Canis lupus familiaris: one gene and its partner. The protein of the gene in region 1 purifies or fractionates together with the protein of each later gene. This does not show direct contact. Links are inferred from orthologs where the notes say so. Each region holds a gene or a part of one and is shown in the gene's direction. Other genes may lie near its edges. The genes, in order: NOP58 and NUFIP1.

Region 1 (4,455 bases):
CATGTGACTTTTGATTCTGGAGTTGTAGGCTTGAGCCCCACCTTGGATGTAGAGATTATTTAAAAAAAAATAAAATTAAAAAATAAAACTAGATCCAAAAAAAGATATATATTATGAAATGATATAATACCACTAACAGACCCAGTGCTTCTACTTCACCCACTCTTCCTTTCCCAATCAAGCCATTTTGGTTTCTTTTTTTTTTTTTTTTTTAAGATTTCTATTTATTCATTCATGAGAGACGAGAGAGAGAGAGAGAGAGAGAGAGAGAGAGAGAGAGAGAGAGAGAAGCAGGCTCCATGCAGGGAGCCCGATGTGGGACCCGATCCCCGGTCTCCAGGATCGCGCCCTGGGCTGAAGGCGGCGCTAAACGGCTGAGCCACCCGGGCTGCCCCATTTTGGTTTCTCTTGCCTCCCTGACCACACTGAATCTTATGGGTATAATCAACCATGCTCGTGTCTGTACCCTAGATTCCCCAATCCCTTGATTCCCCTCCCCCCTCATCTTTTCTGCTATTCAGTCCAGGATTTTCATTCCTCTTGATTCTAGGTTGCAGAGCCGCTTGGAGGAGGAAAAAAAAAAAAGAAAAAATCAAGTTACTTAGTGTTCCAAAACTTTCCGCAAATTGCAACCTAATGTTTACAGCCATCGGCATATAAGGCCTGGAACGTGAGGAAGGAAATTTCACTCCTAAAAAAAGTCAGACTTGTGGACTAACAGAGGTTTTTAAATCCGTCACTCAAACTGAAAGGTCCCAGAAAAGCAACTTCCGCTAAGTCTAAATGCCTATACCCTGTAATCACTGTAACAAAAAACGGGAGAGGTCTGGGCAGCCCGGGTGGCCCAGAGGTTTAGCCCAGGGCGTGACCCCGGAGACCCGGGGGTCGAGTCCCGCGTCGGGCTCCCTGCACCGAGCCTGCTCCTCTGCCTATGTCTCTGCCTCTCTGTGTCTCATGAATAAATAAATAAAATCTTAAAAAAAAAAAAAAAAAAAAACGGGAGAGGTCTGCATATACGTGAAAGACACCTGTGCTAAGAATCAGTTCGGCCGGGCGTGCTCGCGTAGACCGGGACGGTCCCGCGGCCGCCCGAGAGCCTCGCTTCAAGGCAGCGCTCTCCAGGTGTTAAGCGGCTGGCATTTCCCAATTCCAGACGCCTGGGGCAAACGGACGGAGACGGCTCCGCATTTCTCTCAAGATAAATTATATCACCTATAGGAACTTCAAAAATAGTAAAAAGCGACCTTCTTCCCTATTGGGTTTCAGCGCAGCTCACCGCTTAAAATCTCGCTTTAGTCCAAAGAAATCTCGCGACACTTTCTTTCTCTTTCTCGCTCTTTTTTTTCCCCTCCCCTCTCCCCCTCCCATCACCCACCCGGTTGGCGGGAACATACCGGAAGCGACGGCATGCTGCCTGTCGGAAGTGACGTCGGATCCCAGGAGCCTTGGAGAAGGAGAAGCGCGTTGAAACATTCTACACACAGTCGGTTGGAACGGTCAGGCAACGTGGTCCGGTTCTGCGAGCAGGCGCGCGCGTTTGTGCCTGGCCTGCTGCGGCCTTGCAGGCCTTTGGGGGCCGCAAGTTTGGTTTCTTTTCACGGGTGTAAGAGCACGCGGCGGGCCGCGCAGTGCCCTGACCCGGCCTCAGCATGCTGGTGCTGTTTGAGACGTCCGTGGGCTACGCCATCTTTAAGGTAAGTTGCAGATTGAACCGTTGGAGAGGCGAGGCTGGTGTTGGGCAGGCGAGGACGGGGAGAGACGTAAGGGGAGGGCGACAGTGCTCGGGATCCTGCGGGAGCCGTTTGTGTCCCCCTGCTCTAAAGTCAGGGGAAGGCTGTGGGCCTGGGAGACGCGTGTTCCGGTGAACACGTGGCCGCGCCAGGTTCTGTTGAGAGGATTCGGCCGGCGAGAGAGGAGGGCAGGGGTCTTACCGATTTCACAGGTAAAGGTAAGGAACTTGAGGTTTATTCTGAGTGGTTTTAAGAACCGATTGAAAGGTTTTAAGGAGAGGAACGACCTGATCTAAAGTCTTTTAATGAAGTTGCTTTCCCGCGTGGAGAATATATGTTACAAGAAGCCAGAAAGGAACCAGGTATGTTTTTTGCCTTAATCTAGGTAAGATGAAAGTGCTTGGATTCAGGTTAGTATGTCGAGAAGCAAATGCCAGGGGAAATTTAGAAGGTAGAACTGGTGGCATTGGGCCGATGAAGACTGTGGGTTTGGGATTAAGTGGGTACGCGATGGTGGAGAAGAGAAGAAAAACGGGAGTGTTTTTTTGTTTTGTTTTGTTTTGTTTTGTCTTGTTTTTTTCCGGGCGGGGGTTGGGGGAGCAGATACTGAAAAGGTCCAATGTTGCTGTGAAACGTGGAGCGTCTGTGAGATGTGGAAGTGCCCTCCTCATTTTAAGTTTAAGACCTAAGGGAGAAATCTATGCCTGTGGTCATCAGTTTGAGATTTGTCTTAATAGGGAAAATCTGAAATTTAAAGATTATCAGCACGGAGCTGGTTAAACAATGGGACTTTCTTGAGATGTTCCAAAGTTGAGGTAAACTGAATGCTATCCATGCCATGCAGTCTTCTGACCTCTACAAATGTAGGAACAAAACCCAGAATTTTCGTATATGTGCTGATATTAGGGTAAAAATGCTGGGTAACGTGTATAGTACGGTTATGTATGTGCCATGAGTGCAGAAAATCTGGAATCAGCATTCCAAAGTGTTGATTTCGAGGAGCTTTTGACCTTTTTTTTTTTAGATTTTTTTTCAGACATTGAAAATACAGTTCCATTTGCACTTGTTAATGTTAATATTAAGTGATAAAGTCATAAAAGCCAAAAGCTGGTTTTGCTTATTTTTTTCTCATTGGGGTTGTCTGCAATTGGGGAGTAGTAGAAATTTTAAGGGACTGTAAAAGGCTTTAGATCTTCGGAGTGTGTCTGTTTTACTTTTAAAGATTTTATTTATTTATTCATGAGAGGCAGAGACACAGGCAGAGGGAGAAGCAGGCTCCGTGCAGGGAGCCCAATATGGGGCTCAATCCTGGATCTCCAGGACCATACCCGGAGCCGGAGGCAGCAGCTCAACCTCTGAGCCACCCAGGTGTCCCATCTTTTTCTAAATTGTTAAGTAGAATTTTGCACATGCCCCCAAATTTTCTTAGCTAACATGGTCTATCATATTTTGAATTACTGTATATGGTTGAATTTCAGGTAAATAGATGTTAGGTATACTGCTCTGCACTAAGAGGGAGGCGCAACTGCACAGTCCACTGGTTGCCTCTGATGGTGGGAGGGAATTGGCTTAGCAGTTGTCTGGTTTCTAGGCCTAGGTCATAAAATATTCATTTCTCTTGATGAATTACTTATTTCTTTTAATGAAGAGTATTCTCCATAAAAATAAGTCAGGTATTCTGTCGGTTTTTTAACGCTATTCATTTGCAAATTACTGTTCACATTATTAAATTGTGGTTTATGGTTTATGTAGCATAATGGAGAAGTAACTAAAGGACTAAATATATGGAAATAATGATTCAGTTCCAAATATTTCAATTCATAGCCATTATTGTTAGTAAAGTAGACATAGAGTATGTTCTGGAATTGGTAGTGGTTGCACAATTGTGAAAATATACTAAAAAGTAAGTTGTACACTTTATTTTTTTTTAAATTTTTATTTATTTATGATAGTCACACAGACAGAGAGAGAGAGAGGCAGAGACATAGGCAGAGGGAGAAGCAGGCTCCATGCACCGGGAGCCCGACGTGGGATTTGATCCCGGGTCTCCAGGATCGCGCCCTGGGCCAAAGGCAGGCGCCAAACCGCTGCGCCACCCAGGGATCCCTGTAAAAGAATTATTGAATGTTAACAAGGTTATATATGAATCCAAAGACAATACTAAAGGAACTATTTCCATTTTTAGAATATTGTAAAAACTCAACCTGTGTGCCTTGTGTCATGTGGCATACATAGTAAGACTAAAGGCATGTCTTTTATTACTTATCCCAGGCCTTCTGTAGCTGTGCTACCCAATATGATTGCCACTACCCACGTACAACTATTTAGCATTTGAAATTTGGTTGGTAAAGCTCTGGAAACGAATTCTTAGTTTTAATTCATTTAAATTTTAATAGTTACAGTGTGTAGTGCAGCTGCGCAGTGTAGTGTTGTGTTCATTTCCTTAGGGCCTGGAGGAAGAGATTTTTTTTGTGTATACCAGAGTTTCTATATTGATTACTGAGCAGTATGTTTTTCCAGCTTCATTTATTGGGTATCTTACATACTGTATAACTCACCTATTGTAAATACAGTTTGATACATTTTAGTAAAATTTATACAACTGTGCAAGTTGCAATCCAGTTTTAGAATACCTTCAAAAGTTACCTTTTGGCTATTTGCAGGTTAGTCAGACCCAGTTATATAGGCAGCCACTGTCTGTATTATTTTGTCATTTCTAGAAATT
Region 2 (3,815 bases), on another chromosome or scaffold:
ATTTCTTTAATGTACTAGGCTACAAATGATTGATACGGCAGCTAAATTTCTTTTGTGGTCAGTATTTTTTAGGTTTTTCTTGAGAGGTCATTGCCTTTCATATTAAGAGTTGCATTTTTCTCACTCCAGGAAGATGAAGGGGATGTCCAGACATTCACAGATGGCAAAGATCAGAAGTCCCGGCAGGCATCACAAATGGAAAAATGACTGTGTTGGACAGAAAGCGGCCATTGGATCTGGCAATTGCTTGCGTGATTCGAAACCTGAAGATCCACCTGAAGCAAATTCAGACCCTCTGGGTGTTTTAGTAAACACTGATTCTGGTAAGCTAAACAGGAAAGCCGCGTGTTTACAAATGCATAGAACATGATCCTACAGTTGATTCTTCACAGCATTGTTTGTGGAGAGTTTAATGACAAATATGTAAAAAAAATAGAATGATGCTTTTGTTTTTATTTATAATAGAAGTGTCTTGTCAAAACCCTCATTTCAGGATATCTTTTCTGAATCTTGGGGAATGAGTGTGTGAAGCAGGCAGGATATGGAAAAAATTATATTTATTGGCTAATTTTCATAGTATGGTATAATCTTTTAAAAAATATTTTATTTATTACAGAGAGAGGGAGAGTACAGAGGTAGAATGAGAGAGAGAAGCAGACTCTTTGCTGAGCAGAGAGCCTGGCGTGGGGCTGGATCCCAGGTCTCTGGGATCATGACCTGAACTGAAGGCAGACACTTAACGAACTGAGCTACCCAGGTGCCCCCATTGTATGGTGTAACCTTGGAAATTGTTTTCAGATTGTTTTGTATGGGAGTGTGTGGGTTAGTTACTCTGTCAGTTAAGCATCCGACTCTTGATTTTGGCTCAGGTCATGATCAGGTCATGAGATGGAGCCCCATGTCAGGCTCTATGCTCAGTGAGGAGTTTGCTTGGGATGCTCTCTCTCTCTCTCCCTTTGTTTCCCTCCTGCCCACCACCCTCCACTCCCGTGCTCTGACTCTCTCTAAAATAAGTAAGTCTTTTAAAAAAGAAATTGTTTTCAATATATTGATGCTACAGATTCAAATTTGCTCAATTAGGTTAATTTTTCCCCACCTATGAAGTGAGTATTTCAACGGAAGCCAGTTATCATTTATGCTGCTGAGCATGAATAAGATCCCTCTGAGTAAATATTACTGTTTCATTATAATTGATACTGTTCTTCCTCAGTGTATAGAATATATTTATATTAGCTTTGAATTCCCTTACTCTGCCTTAATAAGTTGAAAAATTAAAGGACCAAAATGCTGCTAACCACATAGATATCATCCAGCCTCTGAGGCTCCGTTTTCCCTTCCGCAAAATGTAAATGTAGATGTAAATATTTCTACTACCTTTCCTTCCAATAACATTATGAGGCTTTATCTTACTGCATGTGTTTTCTCTTCTGCAAAGAAAGAATATAAGTGAGTGGACTGATGCTAGCAGGCCCTGTTTAGCTTGGAAGATAGTGGCTTCTATGATAAACATGGCAAATTATTAAACTTACAGATGGCAAGAAATGAGATAACTAATTCAATGACGGAATTAAGATGGAAAGGATCTTGGCTAAGAATAACAGCTTATAATTTAGTTAGAATAATAATAATTATTTTAACACCAACTAATACTTATTGAGTAAGGTACTAATGGTGTTCTACATGCTTTATACATGTGTTTCCAGTTTTCAGATCTTTTACAGTGCATATATACTGTTGCTACTTGTGTTTTATTTATTTTTTTTAAGATTTTATTTGTTCATTCATGAGAGGTACAGAGAGAGAGCGAGAGAGAGACATAGACAGAGGGAGAAGCAGGCTCCTTGAAGGGAGCCCAATGTGGGACTCAATCCCCGGACCTAGGATCATGCCCTGAGCCGAAGGCAGACGCTCAACAACTGAGCCACCCAGGTGTCCTGCTACTTGCATTTTAGAACTGAGGGACACAGGGTAAATAATTTACCTTAGCCCAGCTGTTTGAATTTAGGAGTCTGATTCCACTAGACTCTATGCTTCTTCTAAATGTGAAGTTTGAATTTATCTAAAAAAATACTGTATGAGCCTAGGATAGTTGAGATGTGGGAGAGAGTTTAGAAAAGGCATCTTTTTATCCTTGCTGATGATAGCAAAGAAAAGGCAGATGATGTTTGGGGCCAAGATTACTCTTGGGCACTGATTTTTTTTTTCCTTCAAAAGATGTTAGTGCCCACACTTTTTCAGATTTACAGTGTATGACCTTGATGATTAAAACCATCTATATCCAAATATGAACTTTCATGTCATTAGAATACTTGAAACACAGATACAAAGAATACTGAGAATACTGTTATAATTAGTAAGTTACTAATTTGAAAATTATGTAATTCTTCATGCAGTTCTCTAAATGAACATTCAAGGGACTCTAATGTTGAAGTCATCATTCTGTTAGCTTTGGTAGATGGGTACTTCTGTTTTCTTCCTCTCTCTTTCTCTCTTGCTCTCTTTTTAAAAAAAAAAAAAAAAATCTCTTGGGACAGCCCTGGTGGCTCAGCAGTTTAGCACCGCCTTCGGCCCAGGGAGTGATTCTGGAGACCCAGGATCGAGTCCCGCATCAGGCTCCCTGCATGGAGCCTGCTTCTCCCTCTGCCTCTGTCTCTGCCTCTCTCTCTCTGTGTCTCTCATGAATAAATAAATAAATAAAATCTTTAAAAAAAAAAAAAAATCTCTGCACCCAACATGGGGCTCAAATTCCCAACCCTAGATCAAGAGTCACATGCTCTATTGACTGAACCAGCTAGGCCCCTCTTTGTTTTCTCATTTTTATTTTTTATTTTAAAAATATTTTATTTATTTATTTATTTGAGAAAGAGATAGGGAGAGCATAGAGGCAGAGTGAGAGGAGGAAGCAGGCTCCTTGCTGAGCAGGGAGCCTGAGGCAGGGCTAGATCCCAGGACCCTGAGATCATGACCTGAGCTGAAGGCAGACACTTAACCAACTGAACCACCCAGGCACCCCTGTTTCTCATTTTTATTTTTATTTATTTTTAAAAAGATTTTATTTATTTATTCATGAGAGACACATGGAGAGAGGCAGAGACATAGATAGGGGGAGAAGCAGGCTCTCTGTGGGGAGCCTGATGCGGAACTCCATCCCAGGACTTCAGGATCATGCCCTGAGCTGAAGGCAGAAGCTCAACCACTGAGCCACCTGGGCGTCCCTGTTTCTCATTTTTAAAGCAGTATTTCAATATATGGTAATCTGGTGAAATACCAACAAAAAGATGATTATATATTTTGCTCTATTAAGCCTGTATCTAGGTCTTCAGGAGATACTTTAGATGTGAGAAACAGTAGTAAGTATCTTTCATCCTCGTGATAGAAAGTGTTTAGTCAGATTCCTAGGAGTAATGATATGAGAGACCTCAAGTAATTTTATTTTGGTGTCAATGTGGAGACCTTTACCTATATTGAGGGCCAAAGATAATTATGTAAGTCGTGAATGTAAAAATCTTACAAGTAAGTTATAGATTTATAATATTACTATTTTTTCTTTTTTTTAATAATATTATTCTTTAAGGAAATAAAAAAAGGATCAAGTTAGGGTAACTTAATTTTGTAGAAAAGATTTCATTTAAATTCATGTCATCTTTTACCTGGAATTTCTTCTGGATATTTACAATTCCCAAATCAATAGTTTGGTTGGTTCTTCAACTTTTCACTCCAGGTATAGCTACAAAAAACTATGTGTACCATTTTTCCACATGCTTAAATATTCCCAGCATGCCTACTCTCTGATCTCTTAGTTTTACACTTGTTTG

Evidence for each region.
Region 2: the proteins of NOP58 (region 1) and NUFIP1 purify together in Homo sapiens (co-immunoprecipitation; 3 studies listed by BioGRID and IntAct, with this or other methods). This does not show direct contact. The link is inferred for Canis lupus familiaris from reciprocal best matches to the Homo sapiens genes NOP58 and NUFIP1.

What each region holds. Positions count from the first base shown.
Region 1 is NC_049258.1:11,113,043-11,117,497, forward strand, and holds the start of NOP58 (nucleolar protein 58), read left to right. Parts: upstream 1-1,425; 5' UTR 1,426-1,649; coding exon 1,650-1,694; intron 1,695-4,455. UniProt on the Homo sapiens protein: Required for the biogenesis of box C/D snoRNAs such as U3, U8 and U14 snoRNAs. Part of the small subunit (SSU) processome, first precursor of the small eukaryotic ribosomal subunit.
Region 2 is NC_049243.1:6,033,684-6,037,498, forward strand, and holds part of NUFIP1 (nuclear fragile X mental retardation-interacting protein 1), read left to right. Parts: intron 1-129; coding exon 130-323; intron 324-3,815. UniProt on the Homo sapiens protein: Binds RNA.